3 linked regions of the Callithrix jacchus genome follow. The protein of the gene in region 2 interacts with the protein of the main gene of each other region in a biochemical or structural test. Links are inferred from orthologs where the notes say so. Each region holds a gene or a part of one and is shown on either strand. Other genes may lie near its edges.

The links.
Region 1: the proteins of GAS6 (region 2) and TYRO3 form a complex in vitro, tested with the Homo sapiens proteins (2 studies listed by BioGRID). The link is inferred for Callithrix jacchus from reciprocal best matches to the Homo sapiens genes GAS6 and TYRO3.
Region 3: the proteins of GAS6 (region 2) and AXL form a complex in vitro, tested with the Homo sapiens proteins (2 studies listed by BioGRID and IntAct, with this or other methods). The link is inferred for Callithrix jacchus from reciprocal best matches to the Homo sapiens genes GAS6 and AXL.

What each region holds. Positions count from the first base shown.
Region 1 is NC_133509.1:45,047,601-45,051,851, reverse strand, and holds the start of TYRO3 (tyrosine-protein kinase receptor TYRO3), read left to right. Parts: upstream 1-1,317; 5' UTR 1,318-1,558; coding exon 1,559-1,682; intron 1,683-3,402; coding exon 3,403-3,586; intron 3,587-3,815; coding exon 3,816-3,916; intron 3,917-4,251. UniProt on the Homo sapiens protein: Receptor tyrosine kinase that transduces signals from the extracellular matrix into the cytoplasm by binding to several ligands including TULP1 or GAS6. Regulates many physiological processes including cell survival, migration and differentiation.
Region 2 is NC_133502.1:29,244,233-29,247,874, forward strand, and holds part of GAS6 (growth arrest-specific protein 6), read right to left. Parts: intron 3,509-3,642; coding exon 3,390-3,508; intron 3,243-3,389; coding exon 3,053-3,242; intron 841-3,052; coding exon 676-840; intron 1-675. UniProt on the Homo sapiens protein: Ligand for tyrosine-protein kinase receptors AXL, TYRO3 and MER whose signaling is implicated in cell growth and survival, cell adhesion and cell migration.
Region 3 is NC_133523.1:36,534,550-36,538,191, reverse strand, and holds part of AXL (tyrosine-protein kinase receptor UFO), read right to left. Parts: intron 2,606-3,642; coding exon 2,510-2,605; intron 2,376-2,509; coding exon 2,298-2,375; intron 1,628-2,297; coding exon 1,535-1,627; intron 1,136-1,534; coding exon 1,014-1,135; intron 388-1,013; coding exon 278-387; intron 1-277. UniProt on the Homo sapiens protein: Receptor tyrosine kinase that transduces signals from the extracellular matrix into the cytoplasm by binding growth factor GAS6 and which is thus regulating many physiological processes including cell survival, cell proliferation, migration and differentiation.

The sequences.
Region 1 (4,251 bases), on a different chromosome or scaffold from region 2:
AAAAAAGGAAAAGAAAAGACAGAGACATCTGGCCCCTGCCATCCATGTCTTGATAGTGCCTCCTGAGTCTCTCCTCTTGCTGCCGCTTGGGGGCGCCCCCAGCTGGGTCTCAGGCTGCTGCCAGCCTTGCGGTTGTTATCATTAGCGTAATTAACAAACAAGCACTGCTGGGGCCAAGTGGAAGAAGAGGCAGGCCCCTGCTGCTCAGGAGAATCCCTGAAAAGATCCAGTGAGCCTGCGGCAACCGGGACTAAGTGGCTGGTCCCTCCTCTCCACCCAGGACATCTGGAGGGGGTGTGGAGTGGGTTCTAGGGGGCAGGCAGAGAGGGAAGGGCAAGGGGAGGAGCACACTTGGTAGGCTTGGTTTGGAACCGGATTTGCAGGTGCCCAACAGGATGTCTGTGGGCAAGGCCACCCCCATGATTACTGGTTGTGGGGCAGGCTCTGAGGCAATTATTCATTCATTTAACAGGCATCTGCCTATTTATTTATGGAGTGCCTACGATGCGCAAGGTGGTCTACTCATAATAGCTAATGTTTAATTGAACAATGTGACGACACAGCCAACTTTCACAGCAGGTCCTGGGAAAAGGGGTAGAAGCAAGGGAAGCAACTAGGAAAAATGACAGCCCAAAAAGATAAGGGCAATTGGGCTTTGGCCTGTGCAGTGTAGCGGTGGAGATATGTATTAGGTAAAACCTGGGGATTACCAAGATCTTGGGAAACTCAAGATCCAAGTTGGAAAACATACGGCAAGTGGGGCTGGAGAAAATGGGCATTTTCAGGTAGGAGGGACTTGGAGATAAAGGCAGGGCAATAGAACATGAATATGGGAATTTTGGGTGAACGGCTCAATGAAAGTGAGGGACGAAGGGATGCTAGCAGATTCTGTTGGAGGAGCCCTGGGTCACGGCAGTTTCAGGGGGCCTGATAGATGGGAGTCTAGGGGGTGCTGGATTCTGGGATCACAGTCCGAACAAAAGTTGGGGTGTGGTGGGGGCTACCATCGGGGTTTTGAGGGAAGGCTCGGGAGCGCTAGGATGGAAAAGATGCTGGAGCGCTTTTAGGGAAAGGAGGGGCGTGGCCGGGGAGCCCCATCCTGGGGGCCGAGCCGGATCCTCGGGTTCGGCCTGGGGGCTGCCGGGGCCGGGGTGTCGGCGGGGCTGCGGGGGTCCGCGGCGCTGGCCGGGGTCCGGGCTCGGAGCGAGCCTCCGGGGCTCCGCGGGGGGGCGGTGCGAGCTCGGGCTGCGGGCGGGCTGGGAGGAGGCGGCGGCTCCGAGAAGAACATGAATCAGCGGCGGCGACGGCGGCGACGGCAGTGGAAGGATCGCGGTGGCCCGGGAGCGGCCCCGGGGACCCAGCGCTGCTGACGGCGGCGATCGCGGCGGGGGGCGGACGCGAGTCTCGGAGGCGCTCTCCCCAGCGCCGCCCCACGGGCGGCCCCAGCCCCTCCCGCAGCCCTCCTCTCTCCTGCTCCCTTCCCACCTCCTCCTCCTCCTCTCCGTCCTCCTCCTCCTCGCTCGCGGACCCGGCCCGGCATGGTGCGGCGTCGTCGCCGATGGCGCTGAGGCGGAGCATGGGGCGGCCGGGGCTCCCTCTGCTGCCGCCGCCGCCGCCACCGCGGCTGGGGCTGCTGCTGACGGCTCTGGCTTCTCTGCTGCTCCCGGAGTCCGCAGCCGCAGGTAGGGGCTGGCCCGAGAGGCGGGGGAAGCGGGGGGCTGCGGAGGGGCGCGGTCGGGGATCGAAGCTTGGGGTGGGCCTGGCGGGCGGGAGTCGGGGTGGGGGTCCGGAGCCGAAGGCCAAGGCTCGGGGCCGGGTCAGGGCACGCTGCGGAGTGCTCGCCGCCGGATCTCCCTGCGGGCCCCCCACCCCCAACTTTCTGGCACTCTGGGCTCTCGCGACGGGGTGGAAGGGAAGGGAGCGGGGTGTGGGCTGTGTGGTCAGCCGGGAGTGTTTGGGACTGCATTTTCCCGCCTGGATGTTCCCAGCTGTTAGATCCCTCCTTCCCAGTTCTGGGGACCCCATTCTGCCTGCCCTGCACGCGAAGGTCCGGCTCTGAAACCACATGGGCCGGGGCTGAGCACCCAAAGGCCACCCTGGTAACATTTAGGAACAGGGGCTGTGAGAGTGCCCAGTCACAAAAAGCAAATGGGCACACTCGAGTTCCTGTGCCTTCTGAGCTTCCTGAAAGCAGAACCTTGGAGAGGATGGGCTGGGGCCAGGTTGCTGGTCTTTGGGAGGGGTTAGCCTTGTGTTCCCACTGAGGCATTTGCTGGTGACAAGGGCGTTCCATGCAGCACGGTGCTCTCCAAGTTCCCACCCCGCACCTCGGTGACTGCTGGGCTTATAGAGAGCGGGAGGCCGGACCTCCTGTCCTGTGACTGGTCCTGAGAGGGTGAAGGGAGCAGGGAAAAGCCACAGGCCCGGACAGCAGCCACCCGGCTGGCATCTTCTCTTGAGACAGCGTTCCCTGCCATATCAGCCTCTCAGGGAAGGGAAGGGAAACGGGTGACGAGTATTTACAAGCAGAAAGGTGTGGACCTGATGCTCAGGGAGCCCACGACTTTGCCTAGAGTCGCACAGCAAAGGACAGGAAGAAGCAGGGCTGGATTTTAGTTATGCAGATATTTGACCTGCCCCTCTCTCTGCTTAAAAACACGCCAGGAAGCCAAGAGAGGTGCCAGTGTGTGTGTGTGTGTGTGTGTGTGTGCCCGCGCGGGCATGCGCGCGCACGTTCCAAAGAGTGGCCCCTGTTGGTGTGGCAGTGGCTCAGGGGTCTTAGGCTCCCTGCTCATAGCCCCAGCCCTCCCTTCTTCCTCCTACCTTCCTAGCACCCGCCCCTGCCCACATTCAGGTATTAATAGAGCGGATGGCTGCCAGGAAGGCTGCCATGTGTTTGATCTGACGTGGTTTTGCAGCCATATGTTCTCCACTTCAGGGGAGCACCCCCTCCTTCCCTTCGTCAGCCCTGCTCCATTTGGTAAGGTTGGGTGCAGAGGGTGCTGGCAGCAATACAGGGTCTGGGCTGACACCTTGGGTGGAGAGCTGGCAGCCTGTTGCACTAGTTGGGTACAGCAACCATTCTTAGGGTGATACCTGCCCCAGTAGGGTAACTCCCCGCCATTTCAGCCCAGCCTGCCTTCCTTTTGCTGTCTGATCTCAGCAGGAGGATATGGGGAAGAGGTCCTTAGAACTGGAGGGAACTTGGAGAGCTTGTCATGCCCCTTCCCCTAGTCCAGGTCCAGCCACCTTCCCTCCCACACTGCCCTACCTCTGCTTCCTTGACTTTGGCTAAGAAAGAGCCCTCTGCCTGACACAGAAGCTATGTTCTGGAAGAGAATGGGAACTGTTTACAGAGACAGAGTTCCTCTCAAGGTGACACATGTTCCTTCCACTCCTCAGGTCTGAAGCTCATGGGAGCCCCAGTGAAGCTGACAGTGTCTCAGGGGCAGCCGGTGAAGCTCAACTGCAGCGTGGAGGGGATGGAGGAGCCTGATATCCAGTGGGTGAAGGATGGGGCTGTGGTCCAGCACTTGGACCAGTTGTACATCCCCGTCAGTGAGCAGCACTGGATCGGCTTCCTCAGGTGCAGGCCTGTGGGGGAAGGTGTGGGCTGCCAGCCAGGGGGCAGGCTGTGCTCTTTCCTTGGGGATTGGGAGCTGGGGACCTCACTTGACGCTTAGAGGTTTGTGGTTTTTTTTATGTGGCTACCTGTGGGACTTTCCAGAAGTGGGGGCAGGCTGAACCCATCAAGTTTGCCTGGCAGAGCTGCCCCCTTGACCCTGAGAAGCAAGCCTGGTATCCTGTTTCCACAGCCTGAAGTCAGTGGAGCGCTCTGATGCTGGCCGTTACTGGTGCCAGGTGGAGGATGGGGGCGAAACCGAGATCTCCCAGCCAGTGTGGCTCACAGTAGAAGGTGAGGAGGCAGAACCATCTGGGCACGTTGGCCTGGAGCACGTGCTGTCTGCTGGTGACCATACCTCTGCAGCAGAGAACTCTGTGGAAGCTGGGTTCCCCCACCGCTCTGTGGGGCCTGATTGTCCAGGCTCTAGGCCCACTCCAGACATCAGAAGACCCTACCAATTGGAGTTGGGTATTTGAGAACCAAGGGGGCAACTGGGATCCACAACTTGTGGGGTGCAGTCTGTTTCCGTTGCTTGAGCAACAAGCTTCAAGTACCCATCTGGGACTGGACCCTGTTCTGCCAAGTGGCCTGGCCAGCTGGGGGAGGGGAGGAAGGCTCTGCAGCTG
Region 2 (3,642 bases):
CAATATGGCTGTGGGCAAATCAGGGCAACCCTTTATCTGTGAAACGAGAGCACCATGGGTCTGGAAAGCAGGGTGCCCCTCACACCACCGAAGCGGTGGGTCTCAGCACAGGCACTTCGGACATGCAGCACCCACAGACGCAAAGATGTGCGAGCCTTTCTCCTATCTGGTGTGGGAGTGAAAATACCCAGGATACTGGCCTAGACGTCAGCGCACGGGGGCTGGAGATGCAGATCGGGGCCCGGCATGTGCTGTGCTGGGGGAGGGAAGGCGGGGCCTGGAGAGATGGCCCTCACTGCCCGCCCCACCACGGCTACTTTTCCCCTGTGAGACTCACATCAGGGTTACAAAACCCAAAATGTCCTTGGAAATCATCCAAAAAAGTTTATTGTTCTGTTAAAGAATAATTTCTTTGTGTCTTGTCTCCACTGAAAAATAGACAACTTTATTATCAAGTCAGATGGAAACTTAGTCAGGCCTCATAAAAAGATGGTAAAATTAACCACATGGCCATACCTTGACTTGGTCAAACTCTCAAAACCTTTCCTTCTTCTAGGTCCTCCCCACACCTGGCCAGTGGTAAACACAGGGCAGGGCTGAGCTGACCCAGCCTTCCTGACAGCCACCCGGCTCCCAGCACAGGGTGCCCCTACCCAGGGACAGGACTGCACTCACAGGCTGCACCAGGTCCTCCTCATGGAAGGGGATCCCCCCCACGGTGAGGTTCAGATGGAACATTCCTCGCTCCGGCTGGAACAGGTCCCCGGCCACCGCGATTTTCATGACAGCATCCCTGTTGACCTTGATGACCAGACTCCGAGCCAGCTCCTCAACAGAGATCTGAAGAGAGGCAGCGCCGTGAGAGAAGGTGGGAGTGCATGTTCTGAGGGGGCCCCAACTGCAGAAAAACCATACTTATCTTCCCCTGAGCCAAGAGGGTCCCAACCTCAGGGAGACCACCTGATCCTCACCTGAGCCAGGAGGGTCCCGACCTCAGGGAGACCACCTGATTCTCACCTGAGCCAACAAGGACAGACCTCAAGGAGACCAGGCTCATCATATCGGAGGTCAAGAGGGACCCGACCTCTGCTGGAACACCTGAGACCAAGGACACAACCTAAGGGAGATCATGCTCATCCTCACCTGAGTCAAGAGGGTCCCGATCTCAGGGAGACCACGCTCATCCTCACCTGAGCTAAGAGGGTCCTGACCTCAGGGAGACCACACTCATCCCCACCTGAGCCAAGAGCCACTCAACATCAAGGGAGTCCCTGTTCATCACTGCCTGGGCCAGGAGGTTTCTCAATGCACCAAATTGATTCCTCATAGAAAGCCTGTAGCGTCGAACACTAGATACACCCTATTCCCAAGCTTCAGAAGAACATCCTTCTTCCTGTGTGAAAACACCTTTCAGGTATTTGGGTTTCAACTGAGTCACAAAAACATGGTAGAAGTTTGAGTCAGCTGCCTTTGGGGACCAGCCAGAGGGTGGAATTGGGGAGGGGTCCTCACCAGGTGCCCCTGCTAGGAAGGGCCTGTTTCGGTGCGATGCAGCGGCCGCTGTGAGTCACGGGGCAGGACTGGGTCGCACTACAGTCCCCCAGCGACCTTGCCTCGGGCCACCTGCCCTGGACCCTCATCCCCACAGCTCCATCCCTGAAACTGCTTCCCCTTAGTTTGCTTTCTATAGCTTTGCTAAGAACAACCTCCTGCTCTTGGAGACGCTGCTCCTTTAAGAGGTGAAATGGGCCGGGCGCGGTGGCTCAAGCCTGTAATCCCAGCACTTTGGGAGGCCGAGGCGGGTGGATCACGAGGTCAACAGATCGAGACCATCCTGATCAACATGGTGAAACCCCGTCTCTACTAAAAATTACAAAAAATTAGCTGGGCACGGTGGCGCGTGCCTGTAATCCCAGCTACTCAGGAGGCTGAGGCAGGAGAATTGCCTGAACCCAGGAGGCGGAGGTTGCGGTGAGCCGAGACTGCGCCATTGCACTCCAGCCTGGGTAACAAAAGCGAAACTCGGTCTCAAAAAAAAAAAAAAAAAAGAGGTGAAATGGAGTAGGCATTTACTTTGCAGAATGGAAACATGGGCAAAAGTCTACAGTTTTCATCTGCAAGGGCCAGGGTGAAGTTTTCCACTTCGTCTTCATTCTGAAGGACACAGCCTGCTTTTCCACCTTTCTGAAAGCCCAGTGTGGTGAGGGGCCCAGCCAGGAGCTGGCTACAGACCCTCTCACTCCACGGAGGGGGCTGTGGTGCAGGCATGTTGTCTGCTGCCCACAGCTGCCCAAGGACAGGTCTGATGGGGACCCCTCAGTTGCCCATGGGTCTGGGGTCCAGGTGGTCATGACGTCTCTGGCAAGGGGCAGCCCCCATGAGGTTGCCTGGACCCCTGATGGGAATGGCCGCACAGACCGGCAGGCCCCGGGAGCCAGAGCTCAGAGGCAGTGGCGTCCACGTGGCCCTACATGGAGAGGTGGCCACGGCCAGGGGGCCGCATGCAGCAGGAGCCCGGGCCTGGGGTGCAGGTTCTGGGCGGCTTCCTCCCTGGCGAGGCCCCTGAATGTAGTATCAGCAGCCCTGGCCTGTTCCCCACCCCAACTCAGGATAAACAGCATGGCCTCCAGACACAGCCCAGGGGCCCCCAGGGCTGAGAACCACAGGTTCTTCACCTGAGCCAAGAGTGACCTGAACTCAGGGAGACCAAACTCACAGGTTGCACTTAAGGTCCATTTCTGAGGGAGCCAGGCTCAGATATGTGATGAAATAGCAGAGAGGGCCCCAAGTTCCAGTGAGCCCCAGAGCATGAACTAAACAGGATGGGGGTGAAACAGCAGAGACCCCGAGCTCCACAGTGAGCCCTCGGGTGTGAACTAAACGGGGCAGGGGTGAAATAGCAGAGCCCCCCAAGCATGAGCTAAACGGGGCAGGGGTCCCTGTCCTGCCGCATGCAGCCGGTCAGGCCCCAGAGCCCATCTTGTAATGGGTGCACAAGTGAGTGCGTGCCAGGGGCCCCAGGGGTCGGGAAGGGCGGCTGCCTCACACTCACCGTCTGCCACGTGCCATGGTTGATGACCGGGCCGCTGCTGGTGATTCGGCCCACACCATTGTAACGCAGCTGCAGCTCCAGCCGGCCAGCTCGGAGGGCCAGCATGATCCAGGTGCCATCCTGGTGGCCACCGGCAAAGAGGAGAACGCCCTCGGGGTCAAAGGTCCGGAAGTCAAACTCAGCTACGAGCCTGGGCGCCCATGGAAGAAACAGGTCAGCGCTGGGCGCGGGCAGACGCTGGCCCCTCCCTGCTGACCTAGCTCCTGCCTAGGCCCTATGAAGCTGGCATCCCGGCCGTTATGTCTCAGCTGCGCTGCCTTCTGTGGACGCTCCTCACCTGGTGGGCTGCAGCCTCCTGTAGCGCAGTCGGATCACGGGGGTCCCGCTGAACATGCGGCCCAGGTACAAAGACTTCACACTCTTGGCCATGCTGAAGGGCACGCACGGCAAGATGTCCTGCCATGGGTGGGAGGGGCCGTGAGGGTTGGGGATGTGCCCTCTGCTCTGCTCCCTGAGCCCCAGGTCCTGGCCCTGCAGCAGGTCCACTGTCCCTCCCACACCCCAGAGTGTCAGGGATGCACCCTCTGCTT
Region 3 (3,642 bases), on a different chromosome or scaffold from region 2:
TCCCCATCAGTCACCTTGGCCTCTTTGCTCACCTCATACTGTGCACTGAGCCCACCTTCTTGTCTCTTCTCTCTCTGCACCCGAATACTCCTCCCAGACCTCAGTTCAGGACCCACCTCCTCCAGGAAGCCTTCCCAGATCCCCTTACTGACTTTCCTGGTCCTAAGTTCTGGCCTGCCTTCAGCGGGTGTCTAGCCCCACTTCCATTCTAAGAATGAGGGAGGGAGCTCCCTCAGGGAGTGTGGGAGCATCGGGGGTGTCCCTGAAAGGCACTCACATGCAATTCCTGGCCGCCAGGTCCCGGTGTATGAATCTCTTGGTACTCAGATACTCCATGCCACTGGCGATGTCTGCCATGAACTTCACCAGCATCTGAGTGGGCAGGTACTGAGGGGGAAGGCAGGTGGGAGGAGGGTCAATAGAGGTCAGTAGGGTCCTTGACGCTGATCCCTCCCCCCTCTGTCCCTCTGGGCATGCCTATCTCTGCCTGCAGTGGTTTCCCGTGGCTCTGACAATTCCACCCAACCCCGTCCCATGGCCTGAAAGGTCCTATAAACTTGCTCCAGCCTTCCTGTTTGACTTGATCGCCTATATTCTTGCCCTTGACAGACGCTCCCACCAGACTCCCGTCTGGTCTTCAGATAAACCACCATTGTTCCCACCTCCGAGCCTTTGCCTATGTTGTGCATTTTATTGGGATTGCTTCCTGCCCAGATGGCCAGACATCTCCCCAGCCCCAAGTCCTTCAAGGTCACCTCCGCGGCAAGATCTTAGACATCCACCCAAACTGACTGCCTGGCCTCCTCATCCACCCTACTGTATTTCCTTCCTAGCATTTAAGTCATCTTGCTTAGGTATTTATTAGCTTGTTTGCTGTTCACCTGACCTGCTGGAAGACACGCTGCAGGAGAGCAGGCTCCTGGTCACCATGGTCTTCCCAGGGTCTGAGCAGCACTGGGTACCTGACTGATGCTCAGTTAATATTTATAGACTGGATATTAAATGCCCCTCACCACTGGCTGGTCCCCAAGCCGGGAATAGAGGAGGAAACTGTGTAGGTCTCCATGTTTCATGAAAGGTAAGATGACCACAGGTGCCGGAAAGCTCTCTCGTTCAGAACCCTGGAAACAGACGCCTGAGCCCCACCCCAGGCAGCCCTGTTACTCCTGCTGGGCAGAAGGTGAAGCCAAGCCCCCTCCCAGCCAGACTTCAGCCTCTCCTCACTCCCATCCAATCTGGCTGCCATATTGTTTAGAGAGTAATGGGGGCAGCAAGGACCGAGCTGCAGAGACGCCATTTCCAACAGAGTTCCCAGGGATGTTTCCAGAGCCCTCCTGGGGACCTCAGCTATTTCTGGGAATGGTCAGAGGTCACATTCCAAGCTGAGGGAAAGTAGGAGGGGCGAGTTTGCTGACCCTGAAGGCGCCGGGAGCAGGAAGCATGGAGTCTGATCTTCCCAGGGCCAGAGGAAGGAGTCTTCCCTCTGCTATGGCCCCCATGGGGCCTGTAGACCCTTGAATCTGCCCCCCCTCACCGATGAGCCTCATGACGTTGGGATGGTCGAATTCCTTCATACAGACGGCTTCACTCAGGAAATCCTCCAGCTCTGACCTCGTGCAGATAGCAACTAGAGGGAGAGAGAAAGGTGGTTGAGGAGGGGAGGAGTTCCTCCCTCCACCTCCTCTCCATCACCATCGTCATCACTCATCTTCATCAAACATGATTAGTAAGTACTAGGTGCCAAACTCAGTACTTTACGTATATTAACTCATTTAATCTTCTTAGGTGCTACTGTTACGGTTCCCATTTTATTTTATTGGTTGCTTTTTTTGAGACAGGGTCTTGCTCCATCACCCAGGCTGGATGCAATCAGAGCGATCACAGCTCACTGCAGGCTCAAACTCCTAGGCTTGGGTTCCTGAGTAGCTGGGACCACAGGCACACACCACCATCCATATCATTTTTTTTTTTTTTTTGAGATGGAGTTTTGCACTTGTCCTCCAGGCTGGAGTGCAATGGCACAATCTCAGCTCTCTGCAACCTCCGCCTCCCCGATTCAAGAGGTTCTCGTGCCTCAGTCTCCTGAGTGGCTGGGATTACAGGCATGCACCATCACGCCTGGCTAATATTTGTATTTTTAGTAGAGATGGGGTTTTACCATGTTGGCCAGGCTGGTCTTGAATTCCCCACTCAAAAATTCTAGGCAATGGCTAACTTGCTGTTACCTTTTCTGCTTTCTTCCTTCTCAGGGGCATAGGGAAGGGGCAGGGGGCCCCACACATGTGCACATGACTCACTCTTCATCGTCTTCACAGCCACCTTGAGGACGGAGTCGTCCTGGTTGAGCTGGCCTTCCATCACGGCTCCAAACTCTCCTGTGAAGGGCCAGAGAGAGACACTGACCTCAGAGGGCCTGGGGGGACTGTTTTTCCTAGAGTTGGGTGGGGGCGTGGAAGTGCAGGATCTCAGAAGTTCAGAAGGATGTGTTTATGCTGCTGGGGGGACTCACCTTCTCCCAGAGTCTTCCCCAGGGCCACCTTGTGCCGATCCACCATCACATCCCGCAGCTTCTCCTTCAGCTCTTCACTGATGCCCAGGCTGTTCACTGCATGCAAGTTTGGGGTGGACAAAGCCATGGGGCAGGGCTGACATTCAGGTGACATTCACCCACCAGTAGGGATAGACCCATTGTTGAAACACTGACATACTGCCGCATCGATTCAAAATTAGCTACTGCCCTGAGCACCCTGCCACTTCCACCCTAGCTCCTCCTCTGGACCCCCTGAGCCTTCCCTCAGAGGGAACTAAAGGGTTAAAGCCTGGTCACACTCTTGCTCCAGTGGGCTCCCTGATGGGTCAGAGCCCTGCTTGTACCAGTTGTTAAAAATGTTTCTTTTGCCAGGCACAGTGGCTCACACCTGTAATCCCAGCACTTTGGGAGGCCGAGGCAGGTGGATCATGAACTCAGAAGTTCAAGACCAGCCTGGCTAACATGGTGAAACTCCATCTCTACTAAAAATACAAAAATTAGCCAGGCGTGGTGGTGTACACCTGTACTCCCAGCTACTTGGGAGGCAGTGGCAGGAGAATCGCTTGAACCTAGGAGATGAAGTTTGCAGTGAGCCAAGATCATGCCACTGCAGTCTAGCCTGGGTGACAGAACAAGACTCTGAAAAAAATAAAAATTAAAATATTGTTTTGCCAGACACAGTGGCTTACACCTGTAATCCCAGCATTTTGGGAGGCTGAGGCCGGTGGACCACTGGAGTCCAGGAGTTCAAGACCAGCCTGGGCAATATGGCGAATCCCTGTCTCTACAAAAAATTACAAAAATTAACTGTGCGTGGTGGCATACACCTGTAGTCCCAGCTACTCAACAGGCTGAGATTGGAGGATCACTTGGGCCTGGAGGTGGAGGTTGCAGTGAGCTGAGCTCACACAACTACACCCCAGTCTGGGTGACTGAGCAAGACCCCACATCTCAAATAAAACACACACACAAAAAAATTTCTTTTTCTTTCTTTCTTTCTTTCATTCTTTCTTTTTTTTTTGAGACAGAGCCTTGCTCTGTAGCCCAGGCTGGAGTGTACTGGTATGATCTCAGCTTACTGCAACCTCCGCCTCCTGGGTTCAAGCAATTCT